Oryzias latipes: one gene and its partners. The protein of the gene in region 2 interacts with the protein of the main gene of each other region in a pairwise test. Links are inferred from orthologs where the notes say so. Each region holds a gene or a part of one and is shown on either strand. Other genes may lie near its edges.

Region 1 (4,004 bases), on a different chromosome or scaffold from region 2:
AAAAGCCTCAAGTTTGTTTTTAAAACTGAAGAAATAAACATTCAAAACACATTTTATAAGAAAAAAGCTCTCTGGTGTGTTGGATCCATGTCTTCGATCTTTTCTTTGTCCCTTTCTAAGGTGCAAGGTCAGGCAATAAACTTCATCAGACACAATGCCAGAGCCGCAGGAAAAACTGTGACTCGCCGTTCTCAGTCACTGACAGACCTCAGAGATAAACCTGTGCCCAGCGCAGTCAAAGGACAGGTCCCGCAGTAGTAAGTATTCCAACAAGAAAATTGACCTTCTTAACAGGCTTTAACTTATCCACGATCCCCTCTGAGATGGAAAAAGTTTTGATAATCTAATTAATAACTTAAAAGTATGTTTCGTTTTGAACATTGCACTTACAGCCTTGAGGAAAGGAAAGCACAGTGGCGCAAAGAGGAGGAGGAGAGAAAAAGAAACACACCCGATCCTACAATCCCACCTGGTCACACCTTAATGCAGGACAGTGAAAGGCAGGAAACACTGAAATCTCTGAAAGATAGTATGTATTTACCTTCACCTTTAGTTGATTTTGATACTTAATACACCACGTATAGTGTGAGACTTTATAGTTCCTTGGTTAATTATACTTTTTCCTCCTCAGCTCATCGCACCCTGGTGATGGAATTAAACTCACTCCCTCTGAAAGCAGACAACCTGAGTACTCGCTCACGTCGGGCTCATCTTGACTGCAGGCTTTCTGAAATTGAGGAGGCAATAAAGATATTCTCCAGGGACAAAGTTTATATCAAAACTGATTCCTAACATCTCAAGAAGAGGATATATAAAGAGGATATATAGGAAAGGGTGGAATAGGATCCTTAAAAATCAACACAATTTAGATACTGCTGTGGAAATATACCCAAAAAAGTTGTACATTAGATTTATTTGCTTTGAATGCATTTTTTATTTTATAAAATGTATACATGGTATCTTGAAAAACAGTTGTGTATCTGCTTGTAATTTATTTATTTTGCTTTTGAGCTGTATTTGATGTATTGTAGCCACATAACTGTCAGTAATGAAAATGTATATTTTTCTTTCTTAAATCTTATCCAATAATACTTTGTACAGAACCAGTGTCTTTGTCTTTTTATGTATTATACCCAATTTAACCATAAATACACTTGAATCCTTTTTGACGAAGTGCGCACGCGCAGCCCCGCCCCCACCATGTCTCATTGTTCAGAGCAAGCTAACTTTTGCTAACGTGGTAGTCAGAAACTGACTGACACCTTGCAGCTTGTAATCGCTTTCGCACGCAAATATTACTTGGGAATTTTTTTTAAAACACTACAATAGTGAATTACATCCACTATGAGCAAAAGAAAAGCACCACAGGAATCTCCAAACGAAGGAATAACGGACTTTCTCATCGGTAAGTGAAGTTAAGGTTTGCTAGCAGAAGCTAGCCTTTCCATTTAAAAATAAATACCCACATATCTTGCTAATTATGCTTTATTGAGAGTGGCCCCGTTGATTATGTTTCTTTCTCGTCAGTTAGAAAGCATCAAGGTTACTTTGATGTACAATATTTAAACTTAATGACTATGATAAAATCACTCAAACATAAAGCCGACTCTAAGCTAGCAGAGTTAAGCTGATGAATGGGCGGATCGGTGTTTTGAAAATCATGAGAGGTGGGAGAATGCCTTAATGGGTTTCTGTTTGCAGAGTTGGCCAACTACGAGAAAAATGTCAACAGGGCAATACACAAGTACAATGCTTACAGGTATGTTCGGGAGAGTAAGGGAGTGTAAGCCCCATTGTTGTTGTTTTTAAAAATAATTACTATAGCAATGATGTCTGCCCAAAACATCCCCTTTTCACAATTTTTACATTTAAATATGTCCATGCTCTTTGAATCCTTCCTGTGAAATACAGAAATTTTCACTAAATCTTTCATAGAGCCGAGAACCTAACATTGTGCTTTGTTTGTGTTGCATGATGAGTGTGTGTTTTGTGGTTCCTTCTGCTTTCTCTCTTTGCTGCTCCCTTGGTATCGCTGCACCGAATCATCCGCCTCCATCCACTAAACCTCCTCTGCATCCTCCTCACTCACACTACCCACCTTCTCCTCAACAACATCCATGAACCTCCTCTTTCCTGTAGCTCCAACCTCAGCATCCTTTGATCAACATTATCACTGTCCTTCCTTTGAGCGTGTCAAAATCATCTCAGTCTGCTTCCCTGCATTTATCCTCAAAACATCTCACACCTTTCCTTATCTCATCCATCCTCATCACACCCAAAGAGAACCTCAGCATCTTCATCTCTGCTACCCAAAGCTCTGCCTCCTGTCACATCAGAGCCACTCTCTCTAATTCAAAAACATGGCTGCTCTTACCACAGTTTTCTGCGGCTTTCCTTTCGTTCTTTCTTTTGTTACACTACACACCTTCCTCCACCCGTTGCAACCCGCTTGCACATGCCTCTTTTCCCACACTCTTTGTTGTTCTGGACTGTGGACCTTAAGTACTTAGTCCTCCATTTTCTCCACCAACTTCTCAGCAACACGATTTTCTTATCTTCTTCAGTCAGAGTTTAATACCTGCGTTGATATTTTTTTTTTAATCTTATTTTTTTTACCTCTTTCATTCATAATAGGAAAGCAGCATCTACCATTTCTAAATACCCAAGCAAGATTAGGAACGGAGAAGAAGCAAAAAAACTGGTATGTGCTGATATATATATATATATTTAAAATATCTCCTATTTGATGTGAAATTTTCCGAATTGTTTTTTGTTGTCTTAAGAATGTGTTAATGTTTTAAGAAGTGTTTTATGAGCTCTATCTGAACCTAAACTATTTTGTTAACTTACATTTTCTATAACTCCTGAAAATGCTGAAGCATCCGCCTACGTATTTACATTCAATTCCTCTTTCATGATTCAGGATGGTGTTGGTGCCAAAATAGCAGAAAAGATTGATGAATTTCTACAAACTGGCAAACTAAGAAAACTAGAAAAGGTGAGAGTTTACTGATACTGCAGAGGATGTGCTGATAGAATCCATGTTGTCACACAAACTGATTTATTTATGTTTTTCGATAGATCCGAAATGATGATACCAGCTCTTCCATCAACTTCCTCACTAGAGTTACTGGAATTGGGTATGTTGGTAATGTTATTCGTATAGTTGGATGACATGGTTTTTATTGACCTTTACAGTGGTCCTTCAAGAGAAGCTAAAAAAGTTATTTCTGTTCTGCAGATATGATTTAAAAAACATATAATTAGTGTGTCTTTTTTATTTAGCCCTGCTGCCGCCAGGAAGTTTTTTGAAGAAGGGGTGAAGACATTAGATGGTTTGTAAAGTCTCTTATGTGCATTACTATTATGTGACATCAGTATGAATGTGTTGCAAATTCTAAAATGTTTTGCATTATGTTGATTTTCCGTATGTTCCTATTCTTTTGCAGATTTGAAAAAGGTTGAGCACAAACTTAACCACCATCAAAAGATTGGACTCAGGTAAAGGTTTGACATTTACTTATTCAAATACTCAAAAATGACTGTTTAGTGACTAATCTGCTTCATTTAGGTACTTTGAAGAGTTTGAGAAAAGGATCCCAAGAGCTGAAATGGAACAAATGGAGGTAGTTTTTCCTTTTGCTTCTATGTTTTCTACTTCCGGGCTGGAAAGTGTCGTGTATTTGTCAAGCTTTTCATCATCTTGTGTTTTTAAGGCTCTTATCATTGCTGAGTTGGAGAAAATTGATCCAGAATATATTGGAACAATATGTGGAAGCTACAGAAGAGGTGATCTTTACTGTCTTTAGTCATTTTCTTTACTGGTTGGTGGCGTTTGTAACTGTTTATGGTTTCCAGGTGCAGCGTCGAGTGGTGATATTGATATTTTGCTGACCCACCCAAACTACACCTCGCAGACTGAGAAACAGGTAAAAAGTAATCTCATGAATACTTTTATTCCCATCTTTATCTGCAACTCAGTTTTCTGTTCTTTTGTCCTCAGC
Region 2 (4,102 bases):
TTGCACTTCTTTTTCTTAGGATTCAAAACAGCCAAAAAAGCTAAATTACCCATAAAAAAATAACAAAACACTAAAGTACAATCACATCTTCCTACCTGTATCCTTTCTTTAAGAGCCTTGGGGAAGAATTCATAGCCATTTTTAACTCCAATGCGAAACTTCCCTGTTGGATTGACCCATGCTGGAGGAATCTGAAAGATGTAAAAAAAAACACAGCAAGAGACTTACAGTTAACACACATGTCTTCAGATGGAGGACATTAACATGAGGCAGAATATTTCAGAAGTAGCTGTTGTTGTTTTCTTAACCATCAATTCTGTTTCTTTCAAGAGACTTCTCAACCCACCTTAAGTATTCTACCAGACAGACCAGTGATTGTCCCATCTTTGGCTTCTGCCACCGTAGTCATGTTCACGTCCCCACTGCCTGTGGTATCGATGATGTCCACAATCTTTGGCTTCCCTTCAGTTGTGACCTTAAAAAAATAAAAAATAGTACTGCTGAAAAATAGATTTATTTTAGAGTTATACACAGAGAAACAACCCTGGTTCAATTTCGGGCAGGGTCCTTTGTGTGGAGTTTACATGTTTGCATGTTGCATGTGCATGTGTGGGAGTGATTGTTTGGCCCTGCAACAGTCCATGATTTACCCGGCCTTCACCCAACAGCAGCCAGGACAGGCTATGGCAGGGGTGAGCAAACTTTTCTTAATGTATTTTGGATTGAGACTCGTGGGCCAAAGAGGGTTCTAAAATTTGACGAAGCTGGAGCTGATGTGTGGGACGTTTTGGTAGTCCACCTCATCAGAGGAAGAAATAATAACACGGAATCTTGATGAAAACCTGCTTGAACTGATTAAAAATGGGTTTATATATTTTAAAACTGAACATTTTGGATTTTGTTCTCATTTTCGAGCCAATTGCACAGATGGATTGATCTCCCTCAGGGAAAATGCTAAATTAGAGAAATGCTGCGTTCATCTGCAGTTGGAATGGTCAGAAACATCAGAAAAACAGCAAATAACTTTCTACATCTCAGCAAAGGTTACTTTATTTGCAGAGAACCATTTATGAGTGGAAAATAAAACCTCTATAAAGATTATCAATATAATTTATTCCAGTTTGGCGCCCAGGCCATACATGACCCCCGGGCCCTGGTTTGTCCACAACTGGGCTGCAGCAACCTTGTGAGCTCTAAGGGATATTGCAGGTTATAAAAATAGATGGATGGATAATTCTGATCTGACAGAAGCTGTAAGGTTAATTATAAGAAGCTGTTTATAGTCACTAAAGCACAGTGACAAAAGAAGACAAAAATATGTCATCTTAGAATGAAAACAAGGGAAAACCAGTCAACAGTACAGAACAGAGATTGAGATTTGACTGAACACTGATTTAGCCCCATATGAATTTAGGGTGTTTTTTTTTCTATTTGTGAACAGTTGGTGAAATTATTTTAAGGTCAAGGTAGCAGAAAAGTTGTATCTTTATTAGTAAAGACAAATGAAAAAAAAAGTGTAGTTCTTTATTTAAATATGGCAATAAAAGTACATAATTAGCTATATATACATTAAAACGTATGCTCAACTATCTGTTCTTTGGCCAGTCTTCTTTATATCTTATTTTTAATGATGTCTTTACTTGGAAAATGTCCTTTTTTATGTTTTTATTAATGTTTTGTTGTTAAATTGCTATTTTTCTATTTTAAAATACACTAATATTTACACAATTTTCAAATTATGACCTGTAGAAAAGAAATACGTTTTGTGTCTTGTATGTTTTACTTTTCTTTTGGCTGTTAGAAATCTAACACCAGAAACTAGCACAGCTTCCACTCTGAATTGACAGTTCAAATGTTTCATTTAGTTTTATCTTCTGTTTCTGTTAACCGGATTGATGGGACCAAGTATTTTGCTTAAGCTAGTAAATGCTACAAATAAAAAGCTAGCTTAGTAGCTGCAAACCACTTTAGTGACCTTTTATCCTATATATTTGTAAACGTGTTTACAGGGTTCTGTTTTTAGCTTTGAAATTGTGACAGCAGTTTAATTCACCGACAGTTATTTCGCCATCACGGTTTAAGGCTTTCATAAGAAAACGCAACAGTTAGCTGATATGCTTAGCAATTTCTAAAAAGTTAATAGTAAATGGAGTATCTTTCCTGGCTAGCAAGTGATTTACCGTACACGCTAATGTGATGCTAGTTTGCTTTCTACTATTCCAGGAACTAACAGAAATTGACAGGTGGTTTTACCAACTTTAAAGTATTTCTTCTTTTAATTTAAATAGTCTGACTATCATAAAATGTAATAAAAAGAGATTTATTGTTGTGTTTTTTGCTCCTGCTAGCATGTGGGTTCACTTGTGTCTTACGGTGACTGCGTAGAAATTACGTCGGCCCTTTAGCTTTCTTAGCTTCCAGCTGCTAAATCTAAGCTAACACGAGGCAGCCGCCGGTCAAGTGTACCTGCATGCCGGGGGCACCGGGATCCACTCCGGTGTCGAGGATAGCGATGAGCACCCCTCGCCCGTCATATTCGGGGAACCTGGACAGATGGGAGGCGGCGCCGGTCTCTTTCTTGGGGAGCAGTCCGTGGAAGGGGAACGGTTCTTCACTAGAATGAGCAGCCATGATGATACAAAAGAGCGACAATAAATTCAAAGCAGCGAAATGGGGAAGAGACGGAGAGCAACACGGTGATGGGTGCGAGAGACCGGGGACAACGGCTCGTTAAAGGCGCAGCGCCTGCCCATCCACAGCCGGGGACAACCAACATAAACAAATATTATTTTTTACACGGAGGAAACCGTTTACAAAGCGACAATTCTACACTTGAATCTCATTTTTATTATTCGAATTGTAATAAAAGGCAATCTGGGTGTCACAGGCAATAACTCTGACGTCATAATAATAATAATAAACTCCAGGTTTACATGTATGCACATTTATTTTTGTCAAGCAAAATTGCAGAGTACATGCATCTGATGCAACAATGACTTCAATATTTATATACTAAGATTTATACTTTAATATATGGAAATGTTTCTGTCTTTATTTATTTATTCCTATTTCTATAAACAAATGTTTGGAACATAAGGTCCATTAGTCATGGCTTAAAATCATTGAATGGCAAAGGAAAAGTTATTTTTAATATATATCTCATGTAATAACACTCTCCAAAAAAGGCAAATTATTATTTATGTCTAAAGTACAGTGCTTGTACAACACTGATCCTTGTAATGTTTGTGTAAACAAAAAAGTGGGGGGAAGTGTTTATGAGTGTTTTTGCAGGAGAAAATGCATGCAATATCACTGTTGAACGCAGAGAGGCGCTATAAAGGCAACAAAAACCGACCAAGGAAACTGTTGAATTGTGATGAAAGCCTAAAGTAGCTATATGCCCTATTTAATCAGAATGAACTCAAGACAGTCTACAAAAGCAACGAAACTAAGCAAATTGTCTGATCTCATCAAGCTGTGTTTTTTTTTAATAGGAGCAACACTGCAGCAGTAAAATGGTGTTTGAGAATTGTTAGGAAGAAAAGACATTATTTGTGAGTTGTTTACAGCACCCAGACCTTTAGCAAATCTTCCCTGCAAAGAAGATCTTCAATGACATTGACGAGTTCGGCTGCGACAAAAAATTAATACATGCTTCAGCAAGTCTATGATGGCAATAGAGAGGAATGGGCGGACTCTTGCAATATTTTTAAGATGATAAAATCCTGTCCTAACGACATTTTTAATGTGTGGGATAAAATGTAGCTCAGAGTCAAAAAGTACACCCAGGTTTCTCACACAGTGAGAAAGTTTAAAATTCGGAAGATATGGTAAAATCATCTCTCTTGTCTTCAGAACCAATTATTACATTTTCAGTTTTCATAATCGGTATTTTATATCTAAAAGACAATTTAAAACAGTGTTTATAGGTTCAAGGTCATCAGGTGACATGGCGATGTAAAGCTGTGTATCATCAGCGTGGCTGTGAAAGTCAACGCCGTGTCTCCTGGTGAATACCCAAGAGGCAACATATACAAGTTAAAAAGTATAGGACCTAAAATCGACCCTTGGGGAACCCCACAACTTGTTTCATGGCTTCTTG
Region 3 (4,329 bases), on a different chromosome or scaffold from region 2:
CTACCGGTACATAAATGTACAACAACCACACTTGTGTACACAAACACACCCTTTGCATTTGCCTCAACCTGACTGAAGTACTTTCAAACTGAGGTACTGGATGTCACAATCATGACACAGAGTTACGTTATGTTTACCTATTCATGGTCATTTTCTTTTAAGCAGTGAGATACTGTCATGTTTAAAATAAAGTATAAAAGAAAAAGAGTTAAAATCCTCCATGTTTCATTGGGTTTTAAGACTTTGTGCTCGTACAAAAATGGACCTTAGAAAACAAGAGAGTAAAACCATGTTGAAGAAATGTTTGTCTAAATGACACAGACCAGATTTTCAAGGCTTCAAAATGACATTTCATTTTTATCTGAAATAATTTTTAATAATGAGAACCTGTTGTACTTCTTTAAGATTTTTAATAATACTTCTTTAATTTTTTCACACTTTTTTTTGTCAATATCACATGGTGCTTATGTGAAGGTAAAAGGTACTCCATTTACTAAAAGTCACTAAAAACATGTGACTCAAACCTTATTTCACTTGAATTTTTGCTTTCACTATTTTAAGCATTAGACAAAAATCTTTAAAACTTAAGATACAGTTGCTACCATAAATAGCTTTATTGATTTTATATATTTTTCAATATCTGTTGTAATGTGTATATCCATCTTTTGTGTGTAGTGTAGCATTACTGTACATGATAGTATGTACCACGTAGAGTGCATCATCAGTATCTGAAAAGAAAAAACAACAATACCAGGTTAGTGCCTTTCTGGGAAAAATACTTTTTTTAAAGTATTTTCCAAATTTCTACACAATAAGCTCTTAAGCAAATACAAACATTGGGAAAAAAAACATTATATTTAAGTATCTATCACAGTAACTTAAATAAGTAATTCCCCATGAACCTTTCATTATTCTATTTAGGGGAAACAATTCCTGTTTTATTTTAAAGTCTGGGATGTTTGTTTTAATGCTCTGCATTCATAGTTCTAGAAACTGTTTTCCACTCATATATTTAAACGCATGTATGTTCCTGAGGGCATATATGTTGGCAAAGGCAGACATGTCCATTGATTTGGGAAAATTTGAATATTTTATGTGGGGTGCCTTAAGGGAGAAAAGATAAAATGGTAGATACATTTACGAACAACTAAGGACTTTGTAGACACAAGGAGAAAGATAATTATTAACTTAATAAAAGCTCAGTTTTCGGAGTTATGAATAGAAAATTGCGTATTTGAAGCAATCAAAACGAAATCAACCTAAAGGAGACAACAAAAATACATCAAACTTTAAATAATTAGAATTGATTGGTACCTTATAGTATATGACACACTCAAATAATTAATTATTAAATTTTTCAAAAGACGTTCAATTTATTGCTTTATCGAGCATAGGCTAAAAGTAAATTAGAAACGTGTGTCTTTTATTTCGAAGTCAAAACTTTTTTTAAAAAAAGTAAAGAAGCAGCTGAAAAGCTCTGCTTTGTCGCCCTCTAGTGGAGCCGGCGCAGAAGGAGGAGTAAGCGCGGGTCAGGTTGTTATGGTGAAGCATTTCCCCGGAGGCGCTGGCTCGAGTAGGAACGGAGGACAGTCGCTGATTCCGTTCCAGAGCCGCCGACCTGCCCGGGAGCTCCGGTCACCGCAGGTGAGCTTTCCTGTCTCTCCGGTCTGTCGCTTCAGGTCAGAGTTGTGCGACTGCTCGCTTTCAGGGGCGGTCCGTCCCGAAACGGTCATTAATACGAGGCGAGACAGAGTTTCTGTGTCACAGGTTGATGCAGCTCAAAAAGTAAGCTAACCGGACGTTATGGCAGCGCTAGCATAAATTAGTCGACTCAGCTCAACAGGTGGTCTTATTACTTTCCCTCTGTAAATTTTGAACCCAAAAACAAAACCACAAGTGTTCTCCATCATCAGTTAGCTAATCCAGGTAACTAACACGAACCGCTTACCTGCGGGGCTGAACACCTGTCGAGGCTGTCTGTCTGTCTGTGGACCGCTAGCTAATCTGCTGCTCGCACGGCAGGAATCGGGAGTTTACGTCATTTTTGTTAAAGCCGCTTTCTAGTGGATAAATTCACTTCGAGCGCGTGGAAGTGTCACGTAGACACGAATAAATGTATCCCAATCACTGCGTGGAATTGGCGCGAGGCATATCAGGGGCGCGTGGGGGACTTTTCTTGCGGTTACTTACTGCGGGTCATAGTTCAGGGCCAACCCTTGACTAATCTATACTGATTTTTATAGTAATTTGTACTAATATAATTTTTGGAGGCACACGAACAAATGAAAAAACAACAGCGCTCAGTAACGAACTTTAATATTCTGTGTTTATTTTATCTTCTATGCATTTAACACGGGGAGCATTGGAAACCATTAGGTACCATTTTTAGATAATCTTATGTCCATTAGTATTTAATTTTTTTAATCTTCTGTCTTTTTATTAAATTAAAAACAACTTTTAATAGAAGATAGTTCATAGACTTCTGTCATAAATGTCACACATAACACCACTATGAGATTATTGCCAACAGTAAACATCTATTAATAATTGATTGAGCCTCTATATGGCAGTCATCTCCTGACATTTACTGATTTGTGGCTGTCTGAAAGACAATTCCTTCAATCTTGTTCTTAAGTAATGCTGCATCTGGGCAAAGTACCTTTTACAAATAACATTTAACCACTAGGCACGGTAACAGGTTTGCAGGTTTTGTCATCCAGATTAAGACTAATTCATGGACTTTGTGATGCACAGAGGGTTAATTTAAATGATTCTTGTCGTTGGATCATTTCTAAAAATCACACTTCTCCACACAAATCTATTTGGCAGAACCTCTAAAGAAAAAATCAGATCTGTGACCTCTGGACTGATAGAAACAAAGAACTTCCTGTCAGCATTTACAGCAAATAAAAGCCTTTTGGACACAATAAAAACAGCATCAAATGTTTCTTTCCTCAAGGGTTACTCGTGTAACTTGAATTCTCAGTGGGGAAAAAAAACAAATCTGCTTTTTTTTTAGATTTATTTGACCTGATAAGATCATTTTTAGTTTCTCCCTGACATTCCCTCAAACATTCCTTACTCTCAAACTCCCCCGTCCTCTCCTTCTTCTCAATAGGTTCTTTCTTTACAGTTATGCCTGTTTAAACATGGACATAAATCAAACATATGTCGCAAAGATCCAATTGTCTCTTGTTTACACAGAATCCGAGCACTCTGACATTTATATTTGCTACTGAGCACCTCTTCCTCCACCTTCCTCATCCTCTCGGATCTCTTTCACATCATTTCCTCCACATCCTTTTGCTCCTTCGGTTCATATCCTGTGATTCTTTCTAAATGTGTCTTTTATCCCTGAAACTTGCTCCCTCCTTTCTTTATGCTGTAGAATTCTTGCCAGAATTACTGAGAGTTTTAGGGGATTTATTTGAAGCTAGTCCAATCGTTACACATAACGCGCCTCGCAGTAGACCCCCCCCTCCCTCGTTCTGTTCTTCCTTCAAGGCCAGCAGACATCAACTGTTTTCATGTGTGCATCAAAAACACAGATTGTGTCACACAAACCACCATGACAAGTTTTGTTTTGTCTCACTAGAGACTGTAAGAGGATGCAAATTGAAGGCTCGGTCTTTCCCGGATGTTTCCGTGTTTCATCAAAGCTTCATGGAGGCCGTAGTGTTTGTTTCTGTGAGCAGGTTTAACATTGAGACAGTCCAGGCTGCATGCAAGTTCACTGCAAACCCCTATGCAGCACACTGCACCTTATATAAAGGATGAAAATGGTGTTTTAACATGTTCTTGTGCCATTTTTCTGATGAAAAAGTGAAGTTTAAAATAGCATTCCTGAGGATTTCTTTATTCAAATCATTTTGAATGAGAAGCAGATAAAAAAAAAAAAGGCGTTGGAAAAAAAGATCATTTGTTACATAGAAAATGTGCTGCAGCCACAAGCTCCCTGCTCCGCTCCGCTCCATTTTGATGCATCCATTTATAGACAAATAGATCCATGTGCGTCTTTGTTTTCCTCGTCTGAGCTGGAATCTGGATCCAAACTGCTGGATGGCTCCAGTGTTGCTCAACCACTGCACGGTGGCGCAGGTTTCCTCAAGTCCCAGCTGGGGGACTGGAAACAGAACACCATACCTTTCTGGGTGGAGTAAGCATGTTCTCCCCATGTATGTGAGGGTTTTCTCCGGGGAGTCCGGCTTTCTCCCAGGGTCCAAAAACATGCTTGATAGGTTAAGTGGGTACTCTAAATTGTCGCTAGGTGTGAAAGTGAGTGTGCATGGGTGTGTGATTGTGGCCCTGCAACAGACTGGCGACCTGTCC

Evidence for each region.
Region 1: the proteins of tpp2 (region 2) and polb interact in binary tests that used the Homo sapiens proteins (3 or more experiments, as listed by UniProt). The two-hybrid records come from large-scale screens. The link is inferred for Oryzias latipes from reciprocal best matches to the Homo sapiens genes TPP2 and POLB.
Region 3: the proteins of tpp2 (region 2) and ppp1r16a interact in binary tests that used the Homo sapiens proteins (3 or more experiments, as listed by UniProt). The two-hybrid records come from large-scale screens. The link is inferred for Oryzias latipes from reciprocal best matches to the Homo sapiens genes TPP2 and PPP1R16A.

The regions. Positions count from the first base shown.
Region 1 is NC_019867.2:6,236,795-6,240,798, forward strand, and holds the start of polb (DNA polymerase beta), read left to right. Parts: upstream 1-1,203; 5' UTR 1,204-1,344; coding exon 1,345-1,405; intron 1,406-1,701; coding exon 1,702-1,759; intron 1,760-2,634; coding exon 2,635-2,701; intron 2,702-2,923; coding exon 2,924-2,998; intron 2,999-3,081; coding exon 3,082-3,140; intron 3,141-3,285; coding exon 3,286-3,335; intron 3,336-3,449; coding exon 3,450-3,501; intron 3,502-3,571; coding exon 3,572-3,626; intron 3,627-3,716; coding exon 3,717-3,789; intron 3,790-3,858; coding exon 3,859-3,929; intron 3,930-4,003; coding exon 4,004-4,004. Other genes in the region: enkd1 (enkurin domain-containing protein 1), read left to right, coding at 121-257, 393-529, 632-792.
Region 2 is NC_019861.2:16,571,022-16,575,123, reverse strand, and holds the start of tpp2 (tripeptidyl-peptidase 2), read right to left. Parts: upstream 2,830-4,102; 5' UTR 2,632-2,829; coding exon 2,467-2,631; intron 476-2,466; coding exon 347-475; intron 192-346; coding exon 96-191; intron 1-95. UniProt on the Homo sapiens protein: Cytosolic tripeptidyl-peptidase that releases N-terminal tripeptides from polypeptides and is a component of the proteolytic cascade acting downstream of the 26S proteasome in the ubiquitin-proteasome pathway.
Region 3 is NC_019878.2:14,900,616-14,904,944, reverse strand, and holds the start of ppp1r16a (protein phosphatase 1 regulatory subunit 16A), read left to right. Parts: upstream 1-1,496; 5' UTR 1,497-1,644; intron 1,645-4,329. UniProt on the Homo sapiens protein: Inhibits protein phosphatase 1 activity toward phosphorylase, myosin light chain and myosin substrates.